Callithrix jacchus: one gene and its partners. The protein of the gene in region 5 purifies or fractionates together with the protein of the main gene of each other region. This does not show direct contact. Links are inferred from orthologs where the notes say so. Each region holds a gene or a part of one and is shown on either strand. Other genes may lie near its edges.

Region 1 (3,500 bases), on a different chromosome or scaffold from region 5:
TTTCAAGTAACAATGGAGGCAGCAGAACAAGGAGGGAGATCTCCTCATCCAGCCCACTCACTTCAGATTTGATGCATTCTGGGCTCCTATAGGCAAGAGTGACTTTAGCTTCATTCTTAAACCCAGAGCCACAGCGATCATCAACACAATCAAATCAGTTTTAATCCCTTTCCCCCAAGAGGGCTTAGTGTATGTAGGGCTAGAGACAAAAGTATAGCCAATGCATGAGAATCATGGCTGCCTAGGGGAGAGCAGAAAAAACAGTGGTCTTTATTCTGCAATACACAGGCCATTGCCACCACACCCTCAAATTAGTTTCTGCTTTTAGTCTTAACTCACCGAATGCATCCGATCTAGGACAGCAAATCGATTTCGAGCGACCCAAACGGCTGTCAGGCCTGAGGATCGTTTCCCTTCAGGGGCTGAGAAGAACAAAACCAAAGGGTGGGAGCATGTGGTGAGTCACTGGCAGGTGACATAGTCGGATGCCACGGAGCTGCCAGTCTTGCTGGATGCCATCTTGGCTTTGCCAGTTGAGCTCCTTCCTAACGAATTCAGCCATAACCTGGGGCTATTGTTGAGTGACTTTTCCCCACCAGTCCCCTCCAAACAACCACCACTTCTGCCAAGGCTCTTTTCTCTAGGCCAAGTGGCTGCATTTCAGCCAACATCATGTACTGGCAGAAGGGCCGCCCATCTTGGGAGACAGCACGCTACATCAAGCTAACGAGCAGAGCCTCCCTGGCCAAGCTGCGGCAAAGCGAGCCTGTGTCATAGGACCCCCTCCCCAGGATGCAGCTGCTCGGCTGCTTTTAACATGCAAATGTAGACTTCCTAGTAGGGCAGGGTGGGGCAGAGCACTCCCAACTCAATCTTGACAAGAGAGCTTGGTGCTGGGCAGTATTTAGAACAAAGCTGTTGCTCTGTAAATGTCAACTGAACATTCTTATCACCCTGAAGAGAGTTACAAAATGTTCCTCAGTTCAGTGGCTTATTAGAATTTTGAAATGGACACTCCATTATCTGGGAAACTTGTAGAAGGATAAATAGAAGGGTGCATCAAAATACTCATTTACGTATGACACCAGCAGAAGACTGGACAAAACATACTGGCCAGTCTCGCCCCTGGCATCTGGAATGGTAGGCAATTTACAAAACTAATTATTATCAAAGCCAACACTCCCATTTTCCAGGGGCCAGGAAACTGCAACATTCAAGCCCATCTCTGTTGCCCACCTTTCTCAAAAAATGAAGTACAGAAAATAAAAGTGGTAATAAAACAAAATATTTTAAATTCTATTAATTGTAAACATAGATGGGGAAAAAAAGCAAAGGGCTGAGTTGAGAGGTACCAAATCATAAGATTTAGTCAGAAATGGCTTAACTGACTTATAAGGAAGAATTTGACTTATAAATACCAAATACAAATATGTTTTCTTTCTCTCACTATTAACACATTTAAAAGAGAGGAAATCGATTAGCAACAATGATAACCCAGAGGCACCCACAAAAGAAAAAGAGCTAACAAATTATTTCTCAGGAATCTGCTGATGGCATCTAAACTATGAAAGTATGCTGGTAAGAGTAAGGATCTGCAGAATAAATCTTTGACCTGGTACTAGCCATAAACCTGCTGGAGGAAGTGCACGGAAAGGCGCCTAGACAATAATCAAATCCATTCCGAGAATGTTTTGTCAGCAAGTTCTAGTCACAAGGACAGCAACAAGGGATGGTGGTGATGGAAGAGGCAGGCAGGAGTCTCAGCTGGATCCTGGGATCCCAGGTGGGGTGTGGGGCTGTTAGCAGCCTCATCTTTTTGACATGCAAAAGGAAGCAGATCGAATCTGGATATGGATGGGGGAGTATAAATCCCTAGTCCCTGGGTGAGACATTGTAAGATTGGAACCACATTTTTAAATAAATGAAACTACCAGGGTGAAAGTCATATCAACTGACAATAAACTAGGATAACATGCTGTGCTGAAAGAGAAAATGGAGAGTTTCTAATAACCAAATTATAAAATATATATATCTAGCTGGGGTAATAAAATGGTGGAGGAACATGAATATTTCACACCATGGTCGCCTCTGATGCAATTGTCAGCAGCACCTGCCAACAGACATGAGTGATGTGGCCATGGCTTGGGGATGGAATGTGAAAAACTTGAAGAGGAGAGATGATGTGGGTGAAGAGAGCTGGAAGCAGAGTGGGGTAGACAAAAAGAATACCTACCATCAGGATTCTGGGAGTCAGCATCCTTAGGGATGGTGTACAGGTCATAGGTACTATTCTCCAAATTGCTGGCTCTCTGTAGAGGAAAAGGGGAAATTAAAATGTTAGTGAGAAGGACCCAAGACACCAGTTTTCCAGTTTACTCTGACAGAGAAAACAGACCCAATGCACAGACTGCAATCTGAAACCATACTTTTCTTACTCTTCACCCAGAGGGCATTTATTTGACTGTTTCTACATCTAAGAATTATAGGGCTCTTTGCCAAACAACTAGACACTGATGTCACTTTATTTTCTTTTTCTTCCAAAGATGCAGGTATTATTTGAATGAAAGTAAGAATTGCTCTCTAATCCATAAATAAACAGTCTAGGACCCTGATATTCTGGCGCCCCACCCTGAGTACCCATCAACTGAGTACTCAACTGCTGGAAAGAAAAAAAAAGACATCAAAGAAAAGACACTATAGGAATACAACTATTTATTGGAAAAAGAAGAAAAAGAAAAAACCAGAGAAAACTGTCAGAATATGGACTGCTAAGTATTAAAGAAGAACAGATTGGATAATATAGTTATATGAGGAAAGACATACAACTTCAATCCTTTTAACTTGGCCACCAGGGTACTAAAATTAGAATGTCATTTCCTTTTTTTTCCCCCAAATTCTGTTACAAGAAACAGAGAGGACTCTTTGATGATGAAACGAACTCCTTCTCAAAATCACAGTTCTTCTATTTTCTGTTTTTTTTTTGAGACGGAGTTTCGCTCTTGCTACCCAGGCTGGAGTGCAGTGGCACAATCTCGGCTCACCACAACCTCCACCTCCTGAGTTCAGGCAATTCTCTTGCCTCAGCCTCCTGAGTAGCTGGGATTACAGGCATGTGCCACCACGCCCAGCTAATTTTTTGTATTTTTAGTAGAGACGGGGTTTCACCATGTTGACCAGGATGGTCTCAATCTCTTGACCTCGTGATCCACCCGCCTCGGCCTCCGAAAGTGCTGGGATTACAGGCTTGAGCCACCGCGCCCTGGCCAAGTTCTTCTATTTTCACTCAGAGGAAGGGATCAAGGTAACCATTTTCTTTCCATAGGATGTAAAGAGTCTAAACATTCTCTCAAATTATTTCTAGTGATCTGGGTCCTGATGCTCCATTCATCCTGATGCTCCATTAAGTTCAGCTTCATGAAAGATAGGCAGTTCACAAATGCTCAATGTTTATGACAACTGAAACCTACCTGATTTGAGTCTCTAAGTGATCACTGTGTCAG
Region 2 (3,500 bases), on a different chromosome or scaffold from region 5:
ACTTTTAACTTTCCTGAGAAAATATCTGATTTAAACTCTTATTAAAAAAAAAAAAAAAAAAAAAAAAAAGAAGAAGATTAATACTTTCTGCCATCTGTGATCCTTGCTTTGGTCCAGGACCCCATTCCAATCATTATCTCTTTCATTTTTACATCTTTACCTTCCCATTCTCTACCAACTTTCTTCCCTTATAGTCTACAAATATACTCAAGCTTGTCCTTATCTTCAAAAAATAAATCCTCACCCATTCTTGCCTTCTCTTCTTGGTACTACCCTTTTCTATTCCTAATTAAAGCTAAATTTCTGGCCGGGTGTGGTGGCTCAAGCCTGTAATCCCAGCACTTCGGGAGGCCGAGGCGGGTGGAAGACGAGATCAAGAGATCGAGACCATCCTGGTCAACATGGTGAAACCCCATCTCTACAAAAAATACAAAAATTAGCTGGGCATGGTGGCGTGTGCCTGTAATCCCAGCTACTCAGGAGGCTGAGGCAGGAGAATTGTCTGAACCCAGGAGGCGGAGGTTGCAGTGAGCCGAGATCGTGCCATTGCACTCCAGCCTGGGTAACAAGAGTGAAACTCCATCTCAATAAAAAAAAGCCAAGTTCCTACACTCAGAATAGTCTACACTACCTTTATTTCTTCATCTCCTATTTAGTCTTCGACCTACCACCAATGCTCAAGATGTCCCACAATAAACGTTTTAAAATCCCTAATAGCCAAATCCAAAAGACCTCTCTTTCAGACTTTATTAACTAGTTATTTGATCCTGTGCAGCTTCAAATACTTCCTGAAGGTTTTTCCTTACTTTTCTAACCATACTTCAGATATCTTTGTAGGCTCTTTCTCCTCTGACCAAGCTTTCAGTACTGCTGTTTGCTTGGATTCTGTTTTCAGATCTCCCCTCTTTTTAGTCTTTATGCCCTCTGTGGGTGATTTCTTCTATTCCTGTGGCTTTTAAACAATGAGACAGAGCCTTGCTCTGTCATCCAGGCTGGAGTGCAATGATGCGATCTCAGCTCGCTGCAACCTCTGCCTCCCGGTTCAAGCTATTCACCTGCCTCAGCCTCCCAAGTAGCTGGGACTACAGGTGTGCACCACCATGCCCAACTAATTTTATATTTTTAGTAGAGACAGGGTTTTGCCATGTTGGCCAGGCTGATCTCGAACTCCTGACCTCAGGTAATCCCCCCCCCCGGTCTCCCAAAGTGCTGAGATTACAGATGTGAGTAACCGCGCCTGGTCTGTCTCTCATTTAGACCTCTTCTTTGAGTCCCAGACTCACATCAAACTGCCCTTGAATACTGAACCTGCTCAAAATTTAACCTATTATGTCTTTCTAAAGTTTGTTCTTCTCTCCTGTATAACCTGTTTTGGTAATGACATAAACAACCCAAAAAACTCAATCTGGAAATCTGAGGGTTACTCCAGCCACTTGTTCCACCACTAACCATACCCTTAACAAAATATTCATCCTTCTCTCCATTCCACTACTGGGTTGGCTCAAGTCCTCTTGCATCTCTCACTTGGGCTTCTGTAATAGTCTACTAGTTAATATTCCTGCCTCTTCCAATCAATCTTCTATAGTACTGTCATAGAAAGATATAATGTTATAAGCCACTCATTTATAATTGGCTCAATGATAAAGTCTGAAATCCTTAGCATGACAAATAAAATAGGAAGGTTAGTTATCCTGCTAACCTTCCTAACTTCATTTTTTTCTTGCCACCATTCTCCAACCCATTCTAAACTCCAAGTATATCGAATCACTTGCATTTGTTCTAATTGCATCATCGTCTATGTGTAGTGTTCTACTGAGCACTAGCTCCTCCAAGAAATCTTTTTCTAACCTTTTTCCCCAATCCCCAACACTCTGACAATTGACCAAATCCCTTTACAGATTCCTACCTTACTTAGTACAGGCTTTTTTTTTTCATAGCACTTACCATTACTTATTGCACGTATCTATTTTATATATCAGCTTTCCCTTACACGAACACAATCTATCATTTTTTCCTCACCATGGCAGCCCTATCCTTATGACAGAAATTGCAACAAAATAAGCTTATTGACTGAATGACTCTATACAAGCTAATCCCTAGGTCGGAAATGCCCTTGTGCGCCTAGTAACAAATGACTCAGGTAAAATATTACCCTTTGATAACATAGCATCTTCCTTTAGAAAGCCTTCCATGCTGTTAGCATTGTTTTTTCTTCACCTCAAAGCATACAGTATATAAACCATCCTGTATCACATTGGACTATAATTATATATTTCCTTACCCATCTCCTTTTGCCTGACAGTTTCTTGAGGACAGTGACCCTAACTGGTTCATTTTTGTACATCCAGAACATACTACAATGCCTGGTACCATAGAGAGTGCCTCATAAATTAAGAATAAATGTCCTCATACAACGTCCCCAGCTAGTCACTATAGAAATTCTTTAGTAAAAATATTCACACATTACATGCCATGAAACAGCACCTTACCTATATTACCAAAAATTATTCCATTTTCTGTTGATGCTACTTTGACATTAGCTTTAATATTTGCGAAATCATGAGGAGCAAGAGTCAAAGGAGATGGCTTTTCCACAAGTTTCAGATCCCCTAAAAGAAAGAGTTTGGATACGGTTAAAATATATATACATATATCACATTTAGCAACATGAGATGTATTTTTTTTCTACACACACACACCCATAAAACCTTAAAATGTATGTAGCTTAACAGTTTCTTGTTTTCCCCTTGATATCTTGAAGTTCCTTAACTCTTGCATAAGCCATATGAAATTTGATGGGGGCACTGCACTGTTCTCACATACAATTTACATTTTCCAACTTCAAAACCAGATGTGGAAGTGAGCAGTCTGATTCACATGCCTTTATTAAGAAAAAAAAAATACATCTCATGTTGCTAAATGTGATATGATTTATTACTTTGGTCACATGTGGTATCTAACAGTTATGCATTCAGAAAATACTTAGTTTTGTAATGAGGCAATCAGAAATTTAAGTGAGCCACCTGCTCAATCTGTGACTTAAATAGCTCTAATTATGTCTAGAAAGACTGACATTCGCTAGTTTAAGCTTATTAAATGAATCCATCTGAATGTGCCAAGAGCATAAGAAAGTCAGTATGACAGAGGTTCAAAAAACTGGAGTTGAAGGAAACTAAATGGTAATGAAAAACTAAGCCTTGGTTCAAAATGTCAATAAAGGTTCAAGAAAGAATTTTTATACTGAAACCTGTGCACCTCCCCTAATCTGTCATAAAGATGTACTATGTGACAACATCTTTCCTCAATGGTAAATTTCCTCACCTAGTGTAGCTAATTCTAATGTGCAATTCTGCAAAGTATCACTGGTTTGGTTCACAACAAGTACATCCAGGACAATATCATATTGGTTGACATGAACGTAAGCTTCTGCATATACAGGATCTGAGAAACCTGTCAACTGGGTGACCTGTCAAAACAAAAATAAAGACATAATCAAATGA
Region 3 (3,500 bases), on a different chromosome or scaffold from region 5:
AGCCAGGCGTGGTGGCACATGCCTGTAATCCCAACACTTTGGGAGGTTGAGGTGGGCAGATCACCTGAGGTCAGGAGTTCAAGACCAGCCTGGGCAATATGATGAAACCCCATCTCTATTAAAAACACAAAAATTAGCCAGCATGGTGACATGCACCTGTAATCCCTGCTACTTGAGAGGCTGACATGGGAGAATCGACTGAACTTGGGAGGCAGAGGTTGCAGTGAGCCACTGCACTCCAGTCTGGGTGAGAGAGAGAGAGACAGACTCCGTCTCAAAAAAAAAAAAGAGTTCCCATGAATGCCTAGTATCCAGCTGTTTTGGGCTAAGGTGAGGCTGACTGTAATCGACTATAATGACCTCCAAAGATAGATGATCTGCACTTTTTGGGTGATGGCAGGAGAAGAGAAGTATAAACTTGGGGGAGTCTAATGTATCTTCTCTAACCATCATCCTCTGCTCCTGCCCACTATACCTATTTCCCTCCTTGTTGTATGTGAGACAGGATACCAGTCGATCCTTCGGAGGTGAAAATGCAGAGCGGTCACCTTTACAGACTTCCATTTACCTGCCCTAATGGATGCGGTACAATAAGCAGAGCTGCAGTTAAATTTGTCAAGTGAGGCTCATAAATCCAGGAACTAGACAGGTAGCTAACAGCCAACCTTCCAGCACGGTATTCCCGCGTGAGGTACACTCACCTCCCCATTACATTTCTGAAGAGTTTATTATACAAGGGGAGGAAGAAAAAAAAGGAAAAGGAGGCAGAGTCATTTCATCCTTTCTCTGCAGCCCTGCTACCACCCGCTTCCCACCATGGTTCCCCCCAACATGAGGAGTAGTGAAAGGAAAATGACCTACTGTCAGTCCGATGGGTCTTGTTGAAAATGTTCTTCTCAAAGGCCTTTTGCTCCTTGACACTGGGGTAGGTGTCGTCATAGTACTGGTCAGAGGGAAAGGAGACAGGGTTGGGTCACTAGAGCTGGAAGCTCAGAATGATTAGTGACTATATTTTGCCCTGGGATCTTGGATTTCTCTCTTTCAAGGCATGGGGCAAGGGAGAAATACTGACATGGAAAAGGAAGGACTATAGAGGCAGAGAATGGGTAGTGAGTAATCTAAGAAAATACATAAAAGACCCTGCCATAAGCAACCCTCCTCACATGTTTAAGACTGTCTGAGGGCAGAAGCCTACCAGCCCTACGGTGAGGCTCTGTGCCTGTGTGCAGTCTAGAGCTCTCCTAAGGGTATTCTCATCAAGTGTTTCCCAGGAGCTACTGCATGGCAGGGAGCAGTGCCAGAGAACACAAAAAACACCAGAAGCACAGAACACTTCCTTAGACCCTCACTCACTGTATGAAGCTGAGGAATGGAGAAAGGCTACAAAAACCTCCTCCAAAGAAAGGCAAACCTTGCCCTATGGTCTATCTTAGCTTTCTTTTCTGCAAGCTGAAAGAACCATCCAGCATACAACAGAGCCCATTCCCAGGCTCTCCCTGGCAAGGGGGCTGAGATCCAGGCTGCTAAATTGCTAGCTCTTTAGGGGCTAATCCGTCGCAGTCAGCTGAAGACCTATGACAGGTCTGGCATTTAGGAACTGGATAACTGTTTCAAAAGGTGTCCTGCATAGTTACATCCAATTACAGGGAGGAACAGCTGGTGAATTCTAAACTAATCTCTACCTGCTGATTGATTTATGCTATGCTTGCCCAGAGTTAATACACCAGGGACAGAAAGAATGTCTACAGGAGGGGGAGAATATGGAGGGAGAGGAGAGGGGTGTCCTTTCTTCTTCCTTCCAACAGATCCAAAGTTGGAAACATCACTCTGGGAAAGTCAGGAGGTAACAAGCTTGATGGTGACTATAGACCTAGGACTGGAACCTTGGGACTGCAAGAGAATTCTCCGGAAAAACCCAGGCAGGGTGACAAGGTAGAAGGGAAGGGGACAGGAATGATGGACATGAGCAGGCTGCCTCTTAGCATCTACATACTGCTTTGTTAGGAACCAAAGTTTCAAAGCTTTTCCCTAATTTGATGCTGACAACAATGGAGGTCAAAGTCTGAGGACAGCAAGCAGGGGAGCAGTACAACTAAGGGACAAAAGAAAACTCGGGTTTTATCTGGAGTAGGCAAGAAAGGATGGAAGAATTCAGGCCAGGCCCAGTGGCTCAAGCCTGTAATGCCAGCACTTTGAGAGGCTGAGGTGGGCAGGATGGCCTGAGGTCAGGAGTTCGAAACTACCCTGGCCAACATGGTGAAACCCTGTCTCTACTAAAAATAGAAAAATTAGATGGGCATGGTGGCAGGCACCTGTAATCTCAGCTACTCAGGAGGCTGAGGCAGGAGAATCACTTGAACCCGGGAGGCAGAGGTTGCAGTGAGCTGAAATCATGCCATTGCACTCCAGCCTGGGCAATAAGAGCAAAACTCCGTCTCAAAAAAAAAAAAAGGCGGGCACCGTGGCTCTTGCCTGTAATCCCAGCACTTTGGGAGGCTGAGGGGGGCAGACCACAAGGTCAGGAGTTTAAGACCAGCCTGACCAACATGGTGAAACCCGTCTCTACTAAAAATACCAAAAAATTAGCCGGGCATGGTGGCACTCGCCTATAATCCCAGCTACTCAGGAGGCTGAGGTGGGAGAATCGCTTGAACCTGGGAAGCAGAGGTTACAGTAAGTCAAGATGGTAATACTGCACTCCAGTCTGGGTGACAGAGCAAGACTCTGTCTCAAAAAAAAAAGAAAGAATTCTCAAAATTATACTACTGAGGTACATGAATTAATAGGGGATCAGTCCCAAGATTCAAATCTCAGAATAAGACTTTGTGCTGTTCCTAAACTAATTCGAAAGGGAATCTCACCTTGGCAAAAAGTCGATCTCCATCATTGTCCAGAATCAGGATGGCTTTGACAGTATACAGGGAAGGTTCCTGAAGAGATATGAACATACCTTCAGTCCTAAAGGCTCCCACTACCACTGGTAAACCAGATAACTTCCCCTAATCCCACTGGGGCTGCAAGGGGATACAGAGGTACCTCTGTAAGTCCCTTACCTCAACATGGTCAGATTTTGATATTTCCCATTGAGAAAGACCCAGAGTAAGTAAACTGAATTGATAGAGAAAACATTTCAACAAAGGATTCCAAAGTATCATCAGAGAAACAGTTTCTCTGCCTCATAGGGGGCTTAATCAAGAGAGGTCATGCTGTTATTTCCAAATATTATGGTACAGTTATTTTCCAAATTACCCTCTCCCTTCCTGCTCTCCCATGCACAGGTGGCTACAGAATGTGACCAGATTAATTAAAAGGCACTGAACAAGGCCATTTCAAAATAGGGTTGTATGTCCTAGTATACTTGGAAGTTTCTGCAGTCCAAATGCAGTAGCAATGCAGAAGCATAAAGCAAGCCTTCCCTAAACAACCCACACACTGAGCAGAGGGAAAAGAGCATTTACATACACACACACACACACACACACACACACGCAGAGAGGCAT
Region 4 (3,500 bases), on a different chromosome or scaffold from region 5:
AGATTTAAAAGAAATCATACTTGTAATTTAATAAAATAAACATATTAATTTCCAAGTACGTATTTATATTTACATTTAAATAATACTATAATTTATTAATTTACATTTAGTTTTAGTGTAAACTATACTATAAATTTTTGTGTATTATACATATAAATGCATATATTTTTGAATGCATTAAAAATATGCCTGTTAAATTATTCAAAACTTATATAACAATGTCTTTTTTTTTTTATACAAAAGGCATAATTGGTTGTGGAAGCACACTGCAATTTTTTTCTATTAATGATACCTGAAGAAAAATAATCTATACATATTCATTCCACCAGTGGTGGCAGGTGCCAGAATTGTAACACAATGCCTAAGAAAAAGCAAACAGCATTTATAGGGACAGCTTTGCATTTCAACATCTACTAAATAATGGCAACCAATAGAAAGAGTTTCAGAATTTTGTTTTACCTTTATTTTTGTTACTAATAGTGACCCACTCCAGAGAAACATAGAAACCACTTCCTTTCATATCCAATTCCTCTTTCTCTATTCGAAGAAGTAGGATAGCTATAGAATGTTCTTCAGCATTTAGCAATGAGATACTATGAATTATGATAAAAGGATTCCCAAGTTCTTCATTAAACATAATCTATAAAACAAAATGACACATACACAAAAGTGTACATAATTACATGAACACAGATAGCACAGAGGGAATACATAGGATTCTGGCAATCCAACAATTATTCTGGAGACTATTTATTACAAGAAATTTTTTAAAAAAAACCTTTACCTACAAACTGCAAATTTAGATAATGTTCCTTGAGGACAGAACTTTAAAGAAAATATTTATTTGTACAACAACAACAAAAAAAGCTGATCAGTAGTCTTGGCTAAAAACAGAGAAAACAGGGCATCCAAACAGCATCTAAAGGAGAAAGCAAACTAAAGGTAATCTCCTATAAGAAAGAAATTATCAAGCGAAAAAAGTTTACTACACAAAAAGAGGAGGCAAGGGCAGGTCAGTGTTCATTCCTCCAATCTGTTCTCCTGTCTCTTACATGATTTATTTCTACTTGCTTCCTCTCAGTTTCTGGATATTTTATATGAGTGTGCATGTGTGTATGCCTTTTTCCTACTGTTTTTTGTTTGTTTATTCTCTGGAAGTTTACAAAGTTAAGAGTCAAAAATATTGAAGAATAAAGCACCAAAACATTTATTTTCTCAAAAACAAAAGAAACCTATTAGCATTTAAGAATAAGTTAACAAACTCTATTTAAAATATAATCCTAAAGTGTTTTTTCAAAAGCAAAAAAGCATCACACAAAAACACACAAAATCTTATCAAATTCTTTCTTATGCCACAAACAAGATCTCAACAACTGTTATATTTTTAAGAGTAAATACAAAATAGAGAAGGTTTTAAGGCTGTTTCCTAAACAAGATTTCCAAATAAAATATGGATAGGAGACAAAAAGCCTAACTGAAAAAAAGGTAGCTCTTTAAAAAACAAAAAAAAACCCAATACCTGAAATCTCCACATATCTGCTCCTACTTGGAAATCTTACAGAGAAAAGTGTGCTTTAATGTCATCAGCTTTCCTGTACTTGAACATCTGCCAAAATCATTCAAGTAGTAGGCCTTCAGAATCCATTCTAAAGATTTCCATAAACAGAAAAAGCAAAAATTGAAAAAATATTCCTTAAATATGCAAAACAGAGATGACAGATAAAGACAGGTTTTTATTGGTTTACTGGGTTTTGCTTTTGTTTGGGAACAGTGGAAACAAAAAAAGGAAGAACAGACAATGACAAGTTTTGGCAGGTACAAGTAGCTAGTTTATTGTTTCTTTCTTTCTTTTCTTTCTTGTATGAGTGAAAGGAACTGGAAAGAAACCAAAGGAGTAGACTGCATACTTTTAAAAACTGTTAGGCTAAAGTTTCTAGTTTTCTGAACAAGCCCAGCATCTAAATTGTGATACTGTAGATACATAGCACTTCCATGGTGTTAGAGGCAACACATTTGGAAAGCAGGCTGTCTCCTGTAATTTCACTTTTTACATTTCAGTAATCACCACCACCACCTTTGGCCTCCTTTCCCCCCACCATGCTCTGTAATCTCTTCCACTTTTAGCTTCTTCTCTGTTACACCAATTCCCCTAAAGTCCTAAAGCCCTCCTGAATTTTTTTGTAAAGAGACCAATATTCCACAGTATCTCTCCTATCTAAATTAATGCCCATGTCTCCTCCCTCTCTCACAAGTACCTAGTCAAAACTATTATTAACTGAAAACATCTCTGAAGGATGCTTGTTTACTCAGAATACTCAAGAAGGCACAAGGTAGATTTAAGTTTCTAACTGATTAAAAAGATATTGAAGGCCTAATACGTGCCAAGGGGATACACAAAACAAAACCAAAAAATATAAACCCATATGAATCTCCTTCCAGTGGAATGTGTGGTATTATTAAGATGAAAGTGAGCCAGGTAGGTATGTCCTGTTCAAAATCTACAGAATCCATACAGCTCAATACCAGATAAATTCCCACTCCTCTATCTCCTGCCCATCATTCTCAAAATACCTTCCAACTGTTTCAGGTCGCTGTGCTACATACCACATTACTTCTGTTTTTCAGAAAAATAAAAGTTATTACTAGAGACCAGAACAGAAATTGGCACAGTATCCAATGAATATTTGAATCTGTGAATGCAACAGGCTCTTGAAAACAGGCTACTGCTCTTCTGGTTATTTACTGTGTATTTTGGTAGTATAACATTTAGGGAAACTTAGTAAGATAGGTAAATTTGGTAAGATACTATATACTATATTTAGCAAATATAGTAAAATACTATAATTTGGTAGTATAACATTTAGGGAAACTTAGTAAGATAGGTAAACCATTTGATTCTAAGACTTCCCTGTTTTTTTCCAAGTAATTAAAGCCTGGTCTTTGCAGGCATCTGCTGGTCAAATGAAATTATTTTATAAGATGTAAATATGTTGAGCTCATCTCTTTATTTATCCAGAACTAAAGGCTACCTGCTTAGGTTCAGACAGTAGCAATATTATAATACACTTGTTAGTGTAATTCAAAGGAGCTGAAGCAGTAAATCTTTTGATTATCTGCTTGGCATCATTTTCTTTTACTTTCAAAAACTGTAGTTCTAAAGAAAGTAATTCCTTATTTATTACTATTAAAACCTAACCTATCCATCAGATTCATATCTATTTTTTTAAATTAAAGTAAAAATGTTGTCTTGGAGATTGGCATGTAACTACATATTTATATCATGTATTTTTCTAAGTAGAGAATATTCTGGTAATTTGATCAATGTAAACATCCCAGGAAATCTAACCTAACAGTAGAGGAGAAAAACATCCTAATGTAAGCTTTTGGTCAACTCTTCTTCAACAAGGAGGAGGCAATGTCAATGCTTAGTGAAGTGCTCTACAGATATAAAATATCTGCTGAAAAATGAATGCAATTCTTGACAACTGCATTGACTCCAG
Region 5 (3,940 bases):
TTCCTTCAAGGAAAACGCCACCTATGAAGTATGACTTGAACTTTATAAGCCACATAAAGCAAACATAATAGTTAATAGTACATTTAGTCAAGTCAGAGTTAAATCTTAAATGATACCATATGCAGGATATCAACAGTTCATCCTAAACCTATATTTAAGGGAAATATTTTTTCTAGGATGTAGACTGTAATCTAAGTTAGAATTTCTCTAATTTTGCAGGGGCACGAACCTGTTGAATATAGACCTAATTTACATTTCTAAACAGTAATGCCATTGAAGCCAAAGGCAGGCAGTTTCTTAGCCACACTCTTAGACAAGAGAACAGAAAGCCGGATACACTCTGAGAAAAAGAGGAACATGAATTACAAATGAATGCACGCTAACTCAGCAAGAGTTAATCTTAAGTGTCAATATGGTTTCAGATGGAATCATTGAAAGAAGCAGGATTGAACAAGGGCTCTAAACTGGCAGTGTGTTTTACAATGGATTTTGATAAAATGAAGGAATCCAAAATCATAAAGTAGGTAGGGAGTGGTAGTCCACAGTCCAAAATCTACCCTCTTTTAAAGACCAGCCTCTGGTCCCTCCAAGTGGTCTCCTTCACGTCTCACACTAAGCATCCTTCGAGTACTTTTGAAAAGCCACATTCACCAGAGTGCCTGTGCTTTGTCGTAGCTTCCAAGAAGTTAGCGAGTGAAAGGCTGATTTCCAAGGCGATTCGGGAACCACTGACACTCGCATCGCTCCTGGAAGAGATGCCCACCAGAACCGCGCCCGGGGAGGGCGCCTTCCGCAACGGGAGGGCTCCGCTGTGCATGATCAAAAAGGCCACGGTCACCGGGTGAACACAGACCCCTCAGGCCTCCCGCCTCGCTCTTCTGAGACTGAAGGGTCCGCATGAAAGTCGCCAATGAAATAAAACCACATTCCTGCTGCCGCCGGCGTGGGCTCCCGGGTCGTTGGCCAGGCGGATCGCGCCGAAGCCTTGGCCAGGCCGTGCATGGAGGAGAGGGGGTGGCTGCGTCCCGAGGGAGCCGAGGGCGGCAGGGGAGGGCGGGCCTTGGCCCCGAGTGACGGCGCGGCGGCCCAACCGGCGTGAGAGCGCGGGGCCGGCCTTCCTGCAGCCTCTTCCGCTCGCCCGCTGCGGTGCCTGGGACGGTTGCGGTGGGTCTGGGCGCTGGGAAGTCGTCCAAGATGATTAAAAAATTCGACAAGAAGGACGAGGAGTCTGGTACGCGCGGGGCTTCCGAGGCCTACCCTCAGTCGCGGGCGCCCCATCCCCCGCCCGCCCGCCACCACCTGCTTTCGGGCCGGCGGGGCTGGGGGCGTGGGCTGTGCCAGGGGGCCGGAGCTGGAGCCAGCCCCTCCCCTCCCCTCGCGGCCGCCCGGGGCCTGCCCGTAGCCCCTCCCCCGGGCGCCAGAGCCTTCTTTCCGGCCGCGCGCTCTCGCCCCGGCGCCCGCGCGCGCCCCGACCCCGCCCCTCCCGCGGCGCAGCCCCCTCGGACCCGCCTCCGCCCCTGCGCGCGTCTCCGCGGCAAGGGGTGCGGTAGGGTCTGACCCCGAGTGGGAGAACCCTGTTCCCGGGGCTGGGGTCGACGGCATAGGGTGTGTGTGGAGGAACATTCAGGTTCCTGCTACCTTATAGTTTTCCTGGGGCCCCTGGCTCTGTCCGGTTCCCAGGGGGCGAGACTGTCCCGTGGGACACAGCTTGATGAATCTCAGGCGTCCATAAGTGACCTGCGTCTTGATACCCATCTTTGGTACAGAGCAAATGAGGGAGATGCCAAGCATCCTCAAAAAGAAAAAATTCTCAATATTTGGTAGCAACTCCCATAGTGTGAGACAGGGTTGGGTTAGTCAACCTCCACCGCCCCTTGCAGCTTTACGTCTGCATGATTCTCTGGGAAACTTCGTTTCTGCATCTCAAGTGCTAGAAACACAAAATAGTGCCTAAGGAAATCAAAAGCACCCTACCACAATCTCATTAATCTTCGTTGTCGTGGAAATGACACATTTTTAACATTGATGGAAAAAGAGGGCAGGGAAAGAAGACACTCATTTTGGAGAGGGTTGCTGCAAAAGAAGTCCCTGCTCTTCAAGTATGGCAGTGACAGAGCCAGGATCAAAGTGATTTCATTCAGTTCGTATGCATAGTGGCAATGATTATCACTGTGATATCCCAGTGGTCACCTCCCAAGCATTCAATACCCTTCTCTGGAAAGTATATACGTTTGTGTAGGACAGCTGCTATTCAAACATGTTTTGTTTTATAAATAGGTAGTGGCTCCAACCCTTTCCAGCATCTGGAGAAGAGTGCTGTTTTACAGGAGGTATGACTGGGAAGTATCTTGTGCTCTTTTTTTTCTATTCTGTTTTAGAGTGGTGGGCAGAGAATTCCTGGGCTGCTATGATCACAATATCCAAAATAAGGAACGTAACAGAGGTTAGAGAATACAGATTTGAGGGAAAAGGAAGAGAGGTTACTTGTCACAGAAGAGTCTAGAGCTTGTAGAAATGCAAAGGCATGAAGGCTTTACCACAGGTTGGGAATTTTATGTAAGAAAAGGTGTTTAGTGCAAAGTTATTGAAATCAGTTATCTATAGCTCATTGTGTTAGTATGATATAGATAAGTATTGTGATCCTTATTTAATTTGTATAACCCATAAAGTTGAAGTAGTCTTCCTAATGGAATGAGTTAGAAAGTATAGGATGGACAATCAAGGCCACATTTAATAATTTATCAGATACTTTAGTAAATTGAGAACTATACTCAATATTATTTGGACACTGTGATTAGAAACTATTAAAGTTGATTTGCTATAATCTATGATAGACAAGGTAGGAAAATAAAAATTTCTTGTTTTTTTCATAGGCTCGTATATTCAATGAAACTCCCATCAATCCAAGAAGATGTTTGCATATTCTTACAAAGATTCTTTACTTACTGAACCAGGTAAATTATTTTTTATTTTCCTCAGATAAGTGTGTCCTGGAATAGAAATGCTGAAGATGCAAAGAAATGCTTTCTGGAAAGTATAATTATTTATTTAAATTCACTTAATTTTAACATATACAATGTTTGGTTAAAAAATATGTAAAACTTAGCATGAGGACTATGACATAAACTGGTTGACTCTATCTTATTTGCAATGCTTAGAACCAGAAGTGTTTTGGATTCCAGATTTTTTTTGATTTTGGAATATTTGCAGAATACATACTCATTGAATATTCCTAATCTAAATATTTGAAATCTAGAATGCTCCAATGAGAGTCTTCACTGAGTGTCATATTGGGACTTGAAAAGTTTCTGATTTTGGAGCATTTCAGATTTTGGATTTTGAGATTAGGGATGTTTAACCTGTACTTCTTTCTTATTCATGAGGTCCTAAACCAGTGATGCACATAGTAGATTCTCAATAAATCCTTTGGGTTGAATTTAATGAGTACTAGTTAAAACAAGTTGTTTTAGACTTTAAAAAACTTCATGAAATGTCTAGGGCCTTAGAAAATATGATTTTGTTTCATGGATTCATGTTCCCTCAGTATCAGTGGGGAATTGGTTCCAGGACCTGCATTGGATTCTAAAATCCATAGATGCCCAAGTCCCTCATACGAATGGTGTAGTATTTGCATATAACCACATATCCTCCCATATATTTTAAGTCATCTGTAGATTATAATACCTGGCACAATGTTAGTGCTGTGTAAATAGTTTTTGTGCTGTACTGTTTAGGAAATAATGACAAGAAAAAACTGTCTGTACATGTTCAGTAGAAACACAGTTTGTTTTATTTTCTTGAATATTTTCAATCCGAGGCTGGTTGAATCCACAGATTCAGAACCCGTGGTTATGGAGGGCTAACTGTATAGGTCTATACACATACACATGGACACATAACACATACATATATACCACATACCTCAGGTGGTTTACATATG
Region 6 (3,500 bases), on a different chromosome or scaffold from region 5:
TCAAAAAAAAAAAAAAAAAACAACACAATGCTGCATAGTCAACTAAAATTTTCCCAATGGCTTTAAAACAACTCTCTTTAAAGTTATTTATAACACTGTAAAGGCTGGTATCAAAAGACTGCCAAAGGCAAAACTTATGGCAAAGAATGTTTTACGATATTAAGGGAAATACTCCTAATGCATTCTTAACCTTCATAAGACTATTATGTTACAAATAATTATGAATACCATTTACTGAACTAGGCGGCATACTTGGTTTTATCTTTTGTCTTTTTCAATACTCAGGACAGCATTACAAGATGCCCAGATCTATTGTAAAATAATATTTAAAGCTCCACAGGTTTAGACTTAACTGTGCTAGAAACTCTTCTCTCACCAGATGTTTGGTGACTTACAAATCTTAAGGGAGAAGTTCAACTAACAGTTCAAATTACACATAAGAAACAGAATTATTACCAATCGCAAAACTTTTTCAAAAGACACACATCTCAGAGTCAGGTTTTCTTCTTAAGAGCAGTAAGTCAGCAAGCATTTAGAGAGGGCACCTACCAAGTCTCAGCATAAGACATACTCCTTGCCCTCAAAGGAGCACACAAGAACACAAACTCAATGCATGTGAAATAACAGTAAATAGTACTATTTAACTATTCAAAATTGTGTGGTATAGAACAAGGCCAGGAGGGCAAACATGCTCTATCTTTCATGCCAACTTGTTCGACTAGCATGGCTACCTATAGCTGTGCTGAGAATTGTGGGGCCAGGGCAAAAGCACACAGAGGAATGATCAGAGATGCCAACCACAAGTTAAGAGTGGACTGTGGATCTGCAAACCTGTTCTAACATACACAGAAGCTGAGAGACAAATTTTGGTGATGGCTTACCGCCCATTAGGATTGTGCTGAATAGTCTGAGGGTATATTTCACAACTGCCCATATCCTTTACTGCCAGTGGCAATCTTTCTCCATCTTTAATTTCAGCATCTCCCATTGCCTTTAGGTTGGCCTGCTGGACTTCTGAATGCTTGGCCCAAATTATCTTTCCATTGGCATCCATGGACATTGCAGGTTCCTCCCGACCAAGCTGAAAGAAAGACAAATAGCTCTCAGCAATGAAAAGGAAAATGAAGCCAGGCACAGTGGTTCACGCCTGTAATCACAGCACTTTCGGAGGCCAAGACGGGAGGATCACGAGGTCAAGAGATCAAGACCATCCTGGCCAACACGGTGAAACCCCATCTCTACTAAAATTACAAAAATTAGCTGGGTGTAGTAGTCCCCAGCAACTTGGGAGGCTGAGGCAGGAGAATCGCTTGAACCGAGGAGGCAGAGTCTGCAACAAGCCAAGATTGCACCACTGCACTCCAGCCTAGTGACAGAGCAAGACCCTGTCTCAAAAAAAAAAAAAAAAAGAAAAGAAAAATGAATAAAACCATAATAAAACAGATTATTTTTCACCTCACAGAGAGCTCTATTTCCTTTCTTCCACTTTAAATCTTCATTGCTTAATGTCTAGTGCTTAATCAAAGAAGTGCCAGTTTTACAAAACTGGTGAATTGGAAGATGACAATATTAAAATACAAAGAAAATGTCTTTGCCTATGCCCACCTACTGAGAGGGATAGTTTAATTACCTTAACAATGATGCTCCCTTCATCATAGCCCAAAGCGACATTGTTGGACCCTCTTAGACTGGCCACGCACCATACCCTCTCCATTCCATAATTCAGTGTGCTCTCTAGCCGGTAGGTGCTTGAATGCCAAATACGTACTGTTCCTAAAAAGAACAATGTAAATATTCCCTTTTGATACAAACATCTGACAATAAACTGTGTCAGGTAAGACACCCATGGAAGTCTTTCTATTCAAAAAGATAACACTTCCCGGCAGTTTAACGACCAATTTTTTGATCTCCTGTCTTTAAATGATTTTAAAAAGCAACATAAACTAACAACAGACAACATATAAGAAACAAAACCTAAGACTTACAATTTTAAACATGAAATAATAACCGGATTTTCTGGGTAGAGTATTTCCTATGTGCCAGATGCTTTCTACACATGATTTCTTCTCACTATAATCCTATGAAGTGGATATATGTGTTTCCATTTCATAATTTGCCCAAACCACACATTCATGAAGTAACAGCCTGACAGGTTTGTTTGACTCCAAAGCACATGCTTTTTCAATTTTTCTCTAGGACATCTGATGGTCCTCTTATTTAAGTGACAAAATCAAAATACATGAGAATGGTAATAATGATGCTAATGAAAATAATGTCCCTTTACTCTTTTGTTTATAGCTTAAGTCTAGTACTTCAATCAAAATCCTTGGAAATCTCCAATTACAATGCAGAGACATTACTTGCTTTAAATGCCCACTCAGTAGTTAGCAACACAGGGAATAAACATACCCTTCTAACTTACCATCTTCTGAACCTGTAATAATAATTGGCAACTCAGGATGAAAGCTGGCACAAGACACATTTTGGGCATGTCCTTCCAATGTCTGCACACATGTTTTATTCTGTAATTAAGAAATAGAAAACATTTATTAGTGAAAACCATGTAACCAGACCAACCTTAAATTTCTCAATGTGTAGATACATTATAAATGATGGTAATTAGTTATGACAATCTAAATAATATCCAATACAGATATTTTTGAAATAGGATGATCTTGTTTTACATATATTTTATCTAATTATTTTATAAAATAAATGTAAATATAACTATCATATTTAAATAGGGGGGAAAAAACCAAGCAGGCTTTCATCTGAATATTATTCCCCCAAATTCTCAGGATAATGGATTTTCCCCTTAAAACTCACACCAACTATCACTGGCTAATTAGACTGTACTGCTTTAGCATTTAATATTTTTATTCTGAATAAGTACAAATTTGAAAATATTTCAAGGTAAAACTGACTTTCTAGGCCTCATTTTATTAATTGCTTATGAGAACTTTTGTTGTGAAAAAAATATCAAAATATAAGAAAATCTTAGGGATAGGAAGCATGTTAAGAGTTATAACTAGGTTTACAAGAGTTCTATGTGGCAAAATGATTGGTATTTGTTGATCTGCTGGCTTACAAATAAGAATGAAGATTATGGAGGAAAATTCAACATTAAAATGTTAAAATTTCTAAATGCTGTTATGAAATGAAATATGAACATGCTGATATTTTATTTTTAAAATCTTGATATGCATTGTTTTCATTTTTATGGAGAAATCTGGGAACATAGTTTAGGTGCAAATACTGATACTTTAAGTTATTATGCTGTGAACAGATTTCAACAACCCAAGTCTTAACTGTCCTATAAGAAGTAGTAAGAGACATATCTAACATATAGGAGGTTATGAAAAATTGTACCTGATAATCCCATATTTTAACAAGACGGTCATCTGCACCTGAAATGAGGTATGGTTTGTCCCCACCACTGTAGTAATCAATGCAATTGACGCCTTTCTCATGTCCTTCCAGAGTGAAGTTTGGTGACGAAG

Evidence for each region. Proteins that work in one complex are often made in the same cells at the same time.
Region 1: the proteins of COPG2 (region 5) and COPA fractionate together in Homo sapiens (co-fractionation; 4 studies listed by BioGRID and IntAct, with this or other methods). This does not show direct contact. The link is inferred for Callithrix jacchus from reciprocal best matches to the Homo sapiens genes COPG2 and COPA.
Region 2: the proteins of COPG2 (region 5) and COPB1 purify together in Homo sapiens (affinity purification with western blotting; 4 studies listed by BioGRID and IntAct, with this or other methods). This does not show direct contact. The link is inferred for Callithrix jacchus from reciprocal best matches to the Homo sapiens genes COPG2 and COPB1.
Region 3: the proteins of COPG2 (region 5) and COPZ1 fractionate together in Homo sapiens (co-fractionation; 5 studies listed by BioGRID and IntAct, with this or other methods). This does not show direct contact. The link is inferred for Callithrix jacchus from reciprocal best matches to the Homo sapiens genes COPG2 and COPZ1.
Region 4: the proteins of COPG2 (region 5) and NUDCD1 purify together in Homo sapiens (co-immunoprecipitation; 3 studies listed by BioGRID and IntAct, with this or other methods). This does not show direct contact. The link is inferred for Callithrix jacchus from reciprocal best matches to the Homo sapiens genes COPG2 and NUDCD1.
Region 6: the proteins of COPG2 (region 5) and COPB2 fractionate together in Homo sapiens (co-fractionation; 4 studies listed by BioGRID and IntAct, with this or other methods). This does not show direct contact. The link is inferred for Callithrix jacchus from reciprocal best matches to the Homo sapiens genes COPG2 and COPB2.

What each region holds. Positions count from the first base shown.
Region 1 is NC_133519.1:20,256,403-20,259,902, forward strand, and holds part of COPA (coatomer subunit alpha), read right to left. Parts: intron 2,310-3,500; coding exon 2,234-2,309; intron 423-2,233; coding exon 340-422; intron 1-339. UniProt on the Homo sapiens protein: The coatomer is a cytosolic protein complex that binds to dilysine motifs and reversibly associates with Golgi non-clathrin-coated vesicles, which further mediate biosynthetic protein transport from the ER, via the Golgi up to the trans Golgi network.
Region 2 is NC_133511.1:80,328,740-80,332,239, forward strand, and holds part of COPB1 (coatomer subunit beta), read right to left. Parts: intron 3,467-3,500; coding exon 3,322-3,466; intron 2,610-3,321; coding exon 2,490-2,609; intron 1-2,489. UniProt on the Homo sapiens protein: The coatomer is a cytosolic protein complex that binds to dilysine motifs and reversibly associates with Golgi non-clathrin-coated vesicles, which further mediate biosynthetic protein transport from the ER, via the Golgi up to the trans Golgi network.
Region 3 is NC_133510.1:65,209,546-65,213,045, forward strand, and holds part of COPZ1 (coatomer subunit zeta-1), read right to left. Parts: intron 2,931-3,500; coding exon 2,862-2,930; intron 944-2,861; coding exon 862-943; intron 1-861. UniProt on the Homo sapiens protein: The coatomer is a cytosolic protein complex that binds to dilysine motifs and reversibly associates with Golgi non-clathrin-coated vesicles, which further mediate biosynthetic protein transport from the ER, via the Golgi up to the trans Golgi network.
Region 4 is NC_133517.1:87,735,612-87,739,111, reverse strand, and holds part of NUDCD1 (nudC domain-containing protein 1), read right to left. Parts: intron 641-3,500; coding exon 460-640; intron 1-459.
Region 5 is NC_133512.1:116,571,333-116,575,272, forward strand, and holds the start of COPG2 (coatomer subunit gamma-2), read left to right. Parts: upstream 1-1,140; 5' UTR 1,141-1,194; coding exon 1,195-1,231; intron 1,232-1,412; exon of another isoform or gene 1,413-1,605; intron 1,606-2,277; coding exon 2,278-2,330; intron 2,331-2,873; coding exon 2,874-2,954; intron 2,955-3,940. Other genes in the region: TSGA13 (testis-specific gene 13 protein), read left to right, coding at 676-845. UniProt on the Homo sapiens protein: The coatomer is a cytosolic protein complex that binds to dilysine motifs and reversibly associates with Golgi non-clathrin-coated vesicles, which further mediate biosynthetic protein transport from the ER, via the Golgi up to the trans Golgi network.
Region 6 is NC_133518.1:45,030,737-45,034,236, reverse strand, and holds part of COPB2 (coatomer subunit beta'), read right to left. Parts: coding exon 3,370-3,500; intron 2,523-3,369; coding exon 2,423-2,522; intron 1,774-2,422; coding exon 1,631-1,773; intron 1,082-1,630; coding exon 882-1,081; intron 1-881. UniProt on the Homo sapiens protein: The coatomer is a cytosolic protein complex that binds to dilysine motifs and reversibly associates with Golgi non-clathrin-coated vesicles, which further mediate biosynthetic protein transport from the ER, via the Golgi up to the trans Golgi network.